Xenopus tropicalis: one gene and its partner. Each later gene encodes a partner of the first gene's protein in a complex. Links are inferred from orthologs where the notes say so. Each region holds a gene or a part of one and is shown on either strand. Other genes may lie near its edges.

The links.
Region 2: fbxl13 (region 1) and ccdc153 share a complex: the UniProt entries of both Homo sapiens proteins name them as parts of the nexin-dynein regulatory complex. The link is inferred for Xenopus tropicalis from reciprocal best matches to the Homo sapiens genes FBXL13 and DRC12.

The regions. Positions count from the first base shown.
Region 1 is NC_030679.2:77,929,182-77,934,909, forward strand, and holds part of fbxl13 (dynein regulatory complex subunit 6), read left to right. Parts: intron 1-4,426; coding exon 4,427-4,520; intron 4,521-4,696; coding exon 4,697-4,764; intron 4,765-5,728. UniProt on the Homo sapiens protein: Substrate-recognition component of the SCF (SKP1-CUL1-F-box protein)-type E3 ubiquitin ligase complex.
Region 2 is NC_030683.2:80,325,011-80,331,471, forward strand, and holds the start of ccdc153 (coiled-coil domain-containing protein 153), read left to right. Parts: upstream 1-2,683; 5' UTR 2,684-2,872; intron 2,873-2,922; exon of another isoform or gene 2,923-3,098; intron 3,099-5,616; 5' UTR 5,617-5,618; coding exon 5,619-5,682; intron 5,683-5,793; coding exon 5,794-5,856; intron 5,857-6,461. UniProt on the Homo sapiens protein: Component of the nexin-dynein regulatory complex (N-DRC), a key regulator of ciliary/flagellar motility which maintains the alignment and integrity of the distal axoneme and regulates microtubule sliding in motile axonemes.

The DNA of each region.
Region 1 (5,728 bases):
CGCGTCTGCTGCTTCCTGCTTCCTACTTCCCCCCCAGCGCCGGCCCAACTGAAGAGGATCGTGTCTTCAGGACAGGTAAGGACTTTTTTTTTTATTCTTGCATTTACACACTTAGACACACATTTACATACATTTATACACACTTACATACATTTACACACACTTACAGCACACATTTTAGCAATTTTTTTTTTTTTTTAATTTTTCACACTTTTATACACTCATATACACACTTACACACTATCACACAACTTTTACACATGTATACACAAACACTTTGGGTTTTTTTTTTTTTTTTTTTTCATTTTACCACTTTGTTTTTAGTTTATTTTACCTAAAAACTGTTTATTTTGACAGCGTGACTATTAGATTAGATATTCTGACCACTAATTACACTGTCATGTGACTTATTTTGTTGTTTCACTGATTTGCACAATTTTTGTGGTTTTATCACATTTTATCCCTGTATAAGTGTTCCTAATCTGTTTTTAGCATAGCTTTGCCAGGTGTAACTTTGGTATACAAAAATAACTTTGCCTATTTTGAATTCATCAGAATGTGTACTTTCCAAAAATATATGGTTTTCTGGGGGTCTCTGTATAGTTAGGGGACGTTTCGGCACATAATACGCTGACAGGGGGCTCTGTGTGCAAAAGCTGAGTTGGCAGGCGAGAAATCCATATGCGCTATTTTCGTTTTGGGGTCAGTACACACCACAGACTTTGGTATATCTATGCATATTGGGCATCAAACTGTTCAGTAGATCTTAGGTGTTCCTATTTGGGGTGACTTGCCTTTGTACTCAAGAAATTGTGTGAGATAAATGCGGCAAATTGCAACATTTTTAGGCGATTTTCTGAAATGTCATAAAAACCAATAACTTTAGGAAAGCTTTGCAGATTGGTACTTTGGTGTAGAAAGGACTCTTTACCCTTGTTGGATTTGTCAGAATGTGTACTTTCCAAAAATATATGGTTTTGTGGGGGTCTCTGTATAGTTAGGGGAAGTTTTGGCACATAATACACTGTCAGGGGGCTCTGTGTGCAAAAGCTGAGTTGGCAGGCGAGAAATCCTTATGCGCTATTTTCATTTTGGGTTCAGTACATACCGCAGACTTTGGTATATCTATGCATATTGGGCATCAAACTGTTCAGTAGACCATAGGTGTTCCTATTTGGGGTGATTTGTCTTTATCTGATTTTTATCAAGAAATTGTGAGAGATAAATGCGGCAAATTGCAACATTTTTATGAGATTTTCGAAATGTCATATAAATCTGCAAACTTAGGAAAGCTTTACAGCTTGGTGCTTTGAAGCAAGAAGAAATGTTTACCCATTATAGATTCGGGGGAATGTGTACTTTCCAAAAATATATGACTTTCTGGGGTGAGCGTACTTTTTACTAGCTTTATCCCACATATAATGATGTAAATGTGTTGATTTTGCAGGAGCTGAAATGACAGAAATGACAGTACATATGGGGGTATGTTCCCATTGGGGCCCCTACATGCCACATACTTAGGTAAACCTATACATATTGGGCATCAAACTGTTCAGTGGACCCCTGGTGTTCAAATTCAGGGTGTTTTATCTTGGTAACTAATGCTATGTGGGAGATAAGATGCTGCAAAGTGGAAGCTTTGAGGGGATTTTTGGAAATGTCATCAAAATTGCTAACTTTAGAAAAGCTGTGCGGCTTGGTACTTTGGAGTAGAAAGACATGGTTACCCATTTTAGATTCGGGGGAATGTGTACTTTCCAAAAATATATGACTTTCTGGGGTGAGCGTACTTTTTACTAGCTTTATCCCACATATAATGATGTAAATGTGTTGATTTTGCAGGAGCTGAAATGACAGAAATGACAGTACATATGGGGTATGTTCACATTGGGGCCCCTACATGCCACATACTTAAGTAAACCTATACATATTGGGCATCAAACTGTTCAGTGGACCCCTGGCGTTCATATTTAGGGTGTTTTATTTGGTTACTTTATGACCTGTAGGAGATAAGATACTATAGACTGGAAGCTTTGAAGCGATTTTTTAAAAAAATCACAAATTCTGATAAAAACCAATAACTTTAGGAAAGCATTGTGCCTATTCTGTATTCCCCAGAATCTGTTCTTTCCAAAAATGTACAATTTTCTGGGATAAACCTTCTGTTAGTGGAATTTTTGGCCTTGAAATCTAAAGTATGCAGCTTTCTGGAGTAGTGCTTTGGAAATTTGGTAGTGTACTGCTGGGAGTTTTTGACCTATACAAGTGAGAAATCTCCATAAAACTATATATATTTGGTATTGGCACGTTCAGGAGACATGGGACTTTCCAAATCAGTTGTATATTCGTGCATAAAATAATTTTTGTTTCTAGTATGTGTGATTATATTATGGAAAATTTGATTTTTTTTTGCATTTTTAGACATTTAGAAGCCTATATCTTGTTACAGAATTGGAATTACACAAAAATTCTACCATATTTTGAAAGCTTAGGTTGTTCTGAAAAAAACGATATATTGTTTTCCTGGGTAAACTAAAAGTCCCCCCGAGGAAAGGCCCCTAAAGTGAAACAGTGCAAAATGTTCAAAAACTGTCTGGCAATACAAGTTCCGCTTTGACCAAAATGGCTGGCAGTAAAAGGGTTAAAGGACATGGAAAGGCAAAGTAACTTGGGGGTACCAAAATGTTAGGCACCCCCAAGTGACTTTAATCGCCTATCTTTTACCCCGGGCTGGTGCCCCTGTTGGGAGAGAACAGCACCAGCCCGGGGTAGTTGCAGCGCTTCCTTCTTCCTGGTTCGCGAGCGCGTGCATGCGCAGTACAGTGAAAAGCCGAACTTTAACAGAGAAGTCGGAAGGGAGGAGGAAGCGCATCGCTCCAGGTACCCCGGGCTGGTGCTGTTTTCTCCTAACAGGAGCACCAGCCCGGGGTACAAGGTAAACGATTAAAGTCACTTGGGGGTGCCTAACATTTTGGCACCCCCAAGTGACTTTGCCTTTCCTTGTCCTTTAAAGAAAATAAGAGTTCAGAATTTTTGCTTTTTCCCCTGTTCTCATCAACCGACTGACTCCCCTGTGATAACAAGGGTCCCACCTTTTCTTGCTTCATTTATTTTACTATTTACTTATTTAAAAAATAATTCTGGATTCATTTTACTCCTGCTGCAATAACCATTCCCATCTCATTGCTTGTTTTTTTACATGCTTTATTGGCTTCCTTGTGCTTGATGAAAGTGCAGCTAACTTGAATTTTGAACATTTTTTCTTACCAACCTTGACACTAACACTTTTATCAACCCATAAAGGTTTTGCTTTGCAATGTCTCTCCTTGCTTACAAGGGGATGATAATGACATATATACTTACACAACATTTTTAAGATATATAATTTTCCTTCTGTGTTTAACCCTGTGAAAATCCTTTCCCAGTTAATATGTTGCAGATATACCCTTATACTGAGAAATATTGCACATCTAAAATTTTAGTCACTCCCTTATAGAGCTGTCTTTGCAACATAATCTCGAAGGAGACCATGTTATGACCACTTTTCTCTAAATGCTTACCCACATAAATGCTAGAGATAAGTTCTGCTTTATTAGTTATTACCAGGTCCAAAAGAGAATATTTTCTAGTAGGTTCTTGAACTGCCTTAAATAAAAAGTTGTAATTTAGCATGTTTACAAACCTGCTAACTTTTTCTGCTTGGCCACCCCATTACTTCAGTCAATCTCTGGATAATTAAAGTCGCCCATAATAACAACTTGACTAGTTGTGAGTCCTCCTAAATTTATTATAGCAGCTGGGCTTCATTCTCCTCATTTATACGGAGAGGTTTAAACCATACACCAATGATAAGTTTCTTTGTAACCTTAAGCCCTGCTGAAAAATCTACCCAAAGGGATTTAACACCCTCCCCACTGCTGTTCCTGGTAAATGTTTTAGCGCAAGGCTTTAATTCTGGTTTTACATACAGACAAACTCCTCTACCATCTCTAATCCCTATATCCTTCATAAATAGGGTGTAACCATTTAAATTCACAGCCCAGTCACAAATTTCATCCCACCAGGTCTCAGTGATACCAATTATATCATAATTTTCAGAACATGCAATAAGCTCTCCTAATTTACCTGACAAGCTCTCCTACCAAGAAGAACATAAATTGCCAGTAGGAAAACATATGCGTTGTTTTGGCTTTCGCAAGGAAACTTCAGGCAACTTTGGAAATCTGAGGCAAAACATATGTATTTTCTACCGCCAATTTACATTATTGCCAATATGAAAGCATTAGAAGAGATTAGTCACCACCAATAGAGGAAATTATTTACGGGGCGACAAATCTCGTGTGTCACAGTTTTTAAGATCTCAAGAACTGGTTTTAGTAATTTATTTTGCCAGATTAAGCATTCAATGTCATTAATTATCCAACAGGGATGCATTTATAGAAGAAGCAAAAAAACCTAAATTTAAGGCAATGACAGGAAGCTATCTAGAATATCTTTTTGGAAGAGATGAAGATCAACTGGTAAGTAACAGGCGGCCCTGTATGTCTTACATCTTAGTTTCAACTTCTCTTTATTTTCACTAGAGGGTGCAGTCACATTTTAGTTTTGTGTCTCAAATTTATATAGCAATCAAGCATTTAAAGCATATAAACTGGAAGATTTCCATTTCTTAATTTTCCTATATTTTATATTGCAGGTGTCTTCAGAATTACTCAAGAAAGCTTACTCATTTTATATCAACAATCTGCAGAAGCTGTATTTTAAGTAAGTATTGTACTGCTTGACAAGCTTGATGAATTACAAAGTACCTTAAGAAATGTTTATTGCTAGCTCTGTATAAGTGTCATTTATTTATAGTGCTGTGATCTGAATTAAAAGCATCAACACCACTGCACATTTATGCCTTTTTGGATTATGATCTGTTAAAATTATATGTTCCCTCTTATAAATGCAGGAGCACCAAACAAAGCTCCACTGACATTTATATAGTTATATGGCTGCATGCAGGGACTTGTGTTTATATATGTAGCACACCTGAAAGAGCGTCTAAAAGTGTGATACACTGACAGTGTACCCCTGGGCTGTGGGAAACTCCCAGAACTCCCCACACTGTATAATGATATTATTTTATCCCTTTACTCTTAGATAGATTGTCAAGGTGTGAAAATAACAGCAATCCAGGGGTTGCTTCAGACAAATTAACTTCTTTGTTATCCAAAGCAGGCTGCTATCCAGCAATTGTAACAATTATAAAAGAAATTTGGTACTCACTCAATACTTTTCCCAATTGATGGTACCCCTCACTGGTGAGACACATCTAATAAACTTCCTCCTTAGAAGCAGTACTGCCTGTCTTGGTGATCCTACACTCAGCAGAAAAGGGCTTGCAGTGATATCTTGCTCACAGAGCAACCTTTCTACCCTAAGCTAGGCCACTTATGTTCCTGTGCTAGCGGTCTTTACACCACAATGATACTAACCCTCTATCCTCCTTGTTGGGGCCTTGAGATGCCCTTCTAAATAGCCTAATTCTGCCTCTCGCTCATAGAGCAACTATAACAATGCTAACTACTGCTATACTTTCCTTAACTATTCCTTTAATGCGTATAGCTAGAGCAGACAACCCCACTCTGCTTCCCTGCCCTTGCAGAATGCAGAGCAGCACTGATATCTTTCTTTCTAGTCTGGCTGGCCAGCCGGGAAAGGATTCCTGTACACAGCTTCAGGA
Region 2 (6,461 bases), on another chromosome or scaffold:
GTCGCAAAATGTTCGTTTTCAAGTCGGAACTTTTCCAATTCGGGTCGGATTCGTGGGTTAGTAAATCAGCCCCTATGTTGTGGTTAAAATATAATGTTAAGGTGACCAACTGACAGTACAAACTAGGGCCACCTTCAGGGGGGACAGGTATAACTGCTGTCAGAGGTCTTGTCTATGCGGGGTGCCTGGACTGCCACAAAAGTGGTGTAGTTCGGGTGGTAAGGATCAGGTGGGTTTAGGGCGCTCATGACTATGTATAGCAGATTTGGTCTAAACAAACAACAGCAGGAAGTACAATGGCAGATGATATTATCAATACTGGCAAACATACCGATATCCACGGTACATAGATATTAGTTGGCTTTGTTTGGCCAGCAGTCATGTACCAAAAATCATACAAAACATTCTGCCATTTTGTTTATATGTGTATGGCCAACATCCTCATTCTTTTACATTTTTACCACTCTGCTTTTTTAATGTTTTCTTTTGTTGGGGCATTTTCTTCATTTGGAAGCCACTACACATGCAGGTTGCAATTTAGTTAATCAGAAACTGGCCTAATAGAATGAAACCATTCTGCATGTGCCACCAGTGCTATAAAACAAAAGCCTGGTTGCTTTGTGTAGGACATTACGCTGCAGTAAAATTAACCTTTTTTTGTAAATTCCCATTAGTTGCAGCCCCTTTACTTAAAGTGTGGTGTTGTAATGTGTAATAATAACATGTAGGTTTCCAGCTTGTTCAACAACAGCTCCTAGCATTAAGGGATTCTTCGAACTGTAACTAAGTAAACATGAGTTCAACACGTATCTATTCTTTATATTTATTTATTGCAATCATGGAAGGAGAGAAATTCTACTCAGGAAAAAAAAACAATTTTTTTTCCATAATATTCACAGCACCTCATAAGCACTGCTAAAGGTAAAAACCAGTTTGCTTTGCTGGATAAGAAATGACAAGTTGCCTAAATCCACAAAAGTTGAGGTCAATGCAATATCCCTGCAGTCAGCCTAAATGCACTCCTTGCAGTCCTGTATAGTTGTGCTAGGTACCACTCTTCTGCCTTGCGTTCTGAATCAGGCGCTGCTGTGCCTTCTTATACAATTGTGGTAGGTGCATTGCAATTGTGTCAAGAGAATCACCCCTTTGCAACTGCAGTGACGCCAGAATTACAGGAAAAAATGCTGCATTGTTGGAAAAAAACATGGCAGTTGCATTGCCTACACCTAAGGGCTCATGTACATCCACAAGTGCAGTGAGTCAAGTGCAATTTTAAACAGTTCTCTTTGCTGGCTTCATTTCTGGTGTTCTGCATTGTAAGTAAAGTACACCGCGACTTTTGTCTAAAATTGTTTTTTTCACACTGCACGTCAGTGTGGTTTACAGTTGTTCCCTGGTGAGAAGCAGAGAAACCAATAACACGTAATGGTTCTCAGTACAACCAATGTTTCTGTACAAAAAGATATGAAGCAATTTTATAATATATATGGCATTAGTAAGCCAAAATAGTATAATAAATGTGCTGCCTTATTTCCAAGTGTGCACACAGTTTAGGACTCCAAAACTTTGGTAAGTTTACCTTTTCTCATTAATGAATGACTTATTGGGCCCTCTACACTACTGGGCCCCCCTGCAACCACAGCATCTGCTTCCTCAGTAGTTACACCTGTTTTTTTGCACACATGTAAGCAGTCTTATACTGAAGGTTCTGTAAAATTCATTGTAAGGTTGAAGACACTCAGAGCGCCTAGTATCAGCTACTTGACATGGCTACAGGAATAACCAATACTGATCATTTACTGATAATTGTCTCTAAGGGACACATTTACTAATCCACAAATCCGAATCCCGAATGGGAAAAAATCGAATTGGAAATGAAAATCTTGCAACTTTTTCATCGCCATCGCGTTTTTTTTTCGTATTTTGCGTGATTTTTTCGTCGCCGTCACGGCTATCATATTTTGTGCGACTTTTTAGTCGCCATCGCGGTTTTTTTGTATTGAGCAATACGTATTGAACCAATCCGATTTTTTCGCGACGGCGACGAAATAGTCACGACAATTTGTGAAAAAGTTGTGACGGCGACGAAAAAGTCTTGACAATTCGCAGAAAATACCGATCATTACGGAAAAACGCATTCGGACGTTCGTGGATTAGTAAATGTGCCCCTAAGTGTGGTTTAGCAGAGGCAATTCTCAGTATTGTCTTTGGCAGGGTATTTTCTGGGGTTTAGTAGCCGTCACAAGTAGCTGCTACTAAATAGCTCCACGTGTCTTTACCCAGAGAGGATCTAAACCCAAAAACATTTAGCATAATTTAAGAAGATTTAATTTAAAGCAATTTTACATTATACATTACATTTCAAATGTTCAGCGGTCTTAGGGCTCTGGCACATGGGGAGATTAGTCGCCCTAATCTCCCCGTGTGCCAGAACCCTTAAAGTTATTTGTAAATGTCATTGCTACTGAAAATGATATTTCTACTATAAATACCTTATACACACATAATGGAAAGCTGGGAGTGTAGGATAGCATAGAGATGTTTTTTATTTCATTATACAAAAAACATTTTACGGGTATAGATTACCTTTAAGTTCAGACTCTGAATCTTTAATATGTTTTGTTTTGTTCTTTTTATTAAGGTGATTTGCATTAACAAATTTCTTGTTTTTGTCTCTTCTCAGAGATTTACCGGTACCTTGTTGTTATACATCTTTTGTTACCATTACAGAAACCTAGCAACCTTTTGTATACAATTCTCTCTGAATCGGCTGGGCAAGGTTTGTGGGCAGGATCTTAAAGTGTCTTCCTGCTGGGTAAGCATTTCTCAGTGAATATCACTTTGTTGTTCTGCTGAACAGGATTCATTGCAGGTAAGGGCCACTTGCTGATATTTGCTGTTTAAAATACAGTATGTTATAGAGTTGCGTATTTGGAAAGGCAGCATGTGGAAAAGGAAGATGGCATCGTTATCATGGGCAGCCCCTGCAGTTGCTATGTCTCCACTATCCTCAGGCTCTTCAGTGTTGCTCTAGGCCTGACTGGATACCTGCATCTAATGAGAGACAGAATCAGAAAATAATCAGTTTGCAACGAAAGGTAATCAGATATAGGATATCTTATGATAAGCATACAGAGCAGGGTTGAATGGCTCCTAACTATGCAATGCTGCAAAACTACTTTGCAATGGATTGAAATGTAAGAGGTCATTTACAACCTTAAGTTCAGCGTGCAGTTTTTGATGCAAATCACCATGTTTTTTAATTCAAACTTAATTGTGGGCACACAGCAACTTGCACATGCTGTGTCAAAACAAACAGAATTGAGCAGTGCAGCTAACATTTTTTAAGAGTTAGGATTGCATCACTTCCGAGAGTCAGCATTAAAATTACGTTAGTGTTTAGTTCTTTTGTCACAATTCTATTGCACTTTGGTTCATCACAATAAGCAGGATGAGGAATGACACAGTGGTGCTTGGCGCAACTATACAGAAGTTGAGGAGGTGTTACTTTTAGGACTTCTTTACATGTTACATCAACACACAAAACTAATTTCTAGGGATGCACCAAATCCAGGATTCAGTTAGGGATTCAGCCAAGATTCGGCCAAATCCACACTCCTGGCTGAACCGAATCCAAATGTTTTCTAATATAAACCTGCCGTGGTAAATCACAAGCTGAAGAGCATGCTGTTCTTTGAGTGCCAACTATTATACTGGCATATACATTTTTGTTCCTAGAGCATTGCACTTTTGTTCATAAATGAGCACTAGATTGGTGTCCAAACTATTTTTATTAATACAATGCAACATTTTTCACTGTCTGATTTTTACTATAATATTGCTTAACACACACACACACATATATATAGTGAATAATGTACCCTCTTTTTTAAAATATAAGGATAGCCATTCCACAGAGGAGTTTCGTGACCATGAGTTCTTATATCCTCTTATTTTACAACAGTGGATACATTTAGTTATTATAAATACACAAGTTTCAGTGAGCCATGTGTCAGAAATTACATCATTAAGCATCGTTATAACTGATGCCATCACTAAGCATAATTTTTAAGGATATAATTATATGATATTCATGGCACTTCTGTGTTATACATATAGGGGCTGATTTACTAAGACACGATTTCGAATCCAAATTGGAAAAATTCCGATTGGAAATGAACATTTTTTTTGCGACTTTTTCGGTAATTTTGTGATTTTTTCGTATTTTTTTCGATTTTTTCAGCGTCTTTACGATTTTTGCGTAAAAACGCGAGTTTTTCGTAGCCATTACGAAAGTTGCGCAAAGTCGCGCCTTTTTCGTAGCGTTAAAACTTAAAAGGCGCGACGTTTCGCGCAAGTTTTAACGCTACGAAAAAATCGCGACTTTGTGCAACTTTCGTAATGGCTAAGAAAAACTCGCGTTTTTACGAAAAAATCGTAAAATACGAAAAAATCGCAAAATTACCGATCATTACGAAAAAAACGCAATCGGACGCATTCGGCCCGTTCGTGGGTTAGTAAATGTGCCCCATAGTATATATAAACACAAACATATATATATATAGTGTACTTATGTCTTGCACAAAAAAATCAATTATAATTATTATAGTCCAGTGAAATTCTTTGCATTTAAGTATTGTTGTGCTGTAGGGTTGCCACCAGCCCTGTATTTCAAGGATTCAGATTCAGTTAAAAACCGGGTACAAATCCTCTAAACTGCATCCAGTGGACACAAGTTTCCATGGGTCCTTTTGCCATAAGGCAAGGTGAGAAGTCTCTCCTTTTCCAGGGGTGGCAAAAAATACTCCTGTAATTTTACATGGAGAATTCCCAATAGCTTTCTCCATTTACATGCAACTGCAATCTCCGCTGACCAATACCCAGTCTGAGAGAAGAAAATGTATGTACAGGTGATGGAAACATAAGGGGTTGGAAGCATCAGATCTGCCTTCTTGGACAGCAAAGAGCCTTGATGTGCACCCGCAGATTTCCCAGTGTGTGGAGCTCAAGGCAATATTCTCCAATATTCTGTGTGATCTGTTGTACTAATTTACTGGACAGTTTGTAAACATTAATCTAGTCATCTAAATTATAAATGATTTAGCAATAATATGGAACAAGTAGCACATCTGTCATCATCTTGAATTATATTTAGTACCATGGCCTTAAGCTATTTCAGTTAATTTTGTTAAGGTGGTCATACATGTTAAGATTTGTTTGCTATTTATATAGTCTTCATTCATAGGTGTATAGTTATGTTAGGTGGGGTCCTTCCCTACTAGTCTCACTAGTGTTCCTGTGCTAAGGGTAAGAGAACATGGTTTTACAATAAAATAAGGCAGTGAAGAACTCACATATAATGAGGGGCCTTAGTGTGACAAGTAAACTTAAATATTTTGGGGGATGTGTGGTGCTAATTTTTCAATATTAATTTAATATTTTACATAGGCCATAATTTGTGCATTGGCAATTATTAGTATGTATTAGTTTGCAGGATTGAAATTCCACATGAACCTTTCAAGGGGCACATGGTAGTTTTTTTCTCCAAAATTATTTTCTTCTTGTGCCTTTGCATCTTTCAATCCTATGACTCAGACTATTATATCTCTTTTATAGATATGCCACCAAAGCAGAAGGGAAAATCTCAAAAGAAAAAGGGGAAGAAAACAAAGAATGGAACAAGTAAGAGAAATGAGACTCTCTTCATCGTAGATTTATAAGTATTTGTAGTTCAGTTCTTATGTCTTTTTTTTGGATTTATGCCATAATTCTAATGGATTTTTCCCCCCTCAGGCTCAGTAGACGACCAGTACCGCAAGGCAACGTTGGAAGTTGAAGTTTTACAGAATCACTTGGGTAACAACAAGGAGATAGATTCTGGCCCAAATGAGCTAAGCCTCAGGAGTGAAACAAAATAGGCTAGCAAGGGGTATATTTTTACAAAGGGTAAAAATAGTTTGCCACATTTCACACTCTCACATGTATAGGAGCTTTTTCTAAGGCATGTTTGTCAAGGCTTGACACTAAGAAGTTTATTTTTTCATAAACACTCCCCCCATATATCATTGCAAGTGAATACAGAGCTGTGAAATTTCTCTCTGGTGAACTTCACCCTAGCACTCTCTAAAAGTTTGCCATTACAATGAGGCCGCTTATTCTACATTTACTCATATAATACATAATTATAAAAGTATAAAGCAAATATAAAATAATTCACATATTTAGAATGCACACAACTTATTTTGATCACCAGAACACCGTAGTCAGGATGATAGCATATTTAAAAAGCTTTGCTGTTGTCATTACATGTAAATTAGCATCATACATCGTGACTCGGGATCATCCATTACATAAAGTTATAAAGGTAGGGCTGCCATCGGGGAAATATAGAGGGAACTTTGGTCAGGGGCCCCTAGTTACACAAAGTTATGAATTATCATTTAAAAGTCAATGGGGCACAT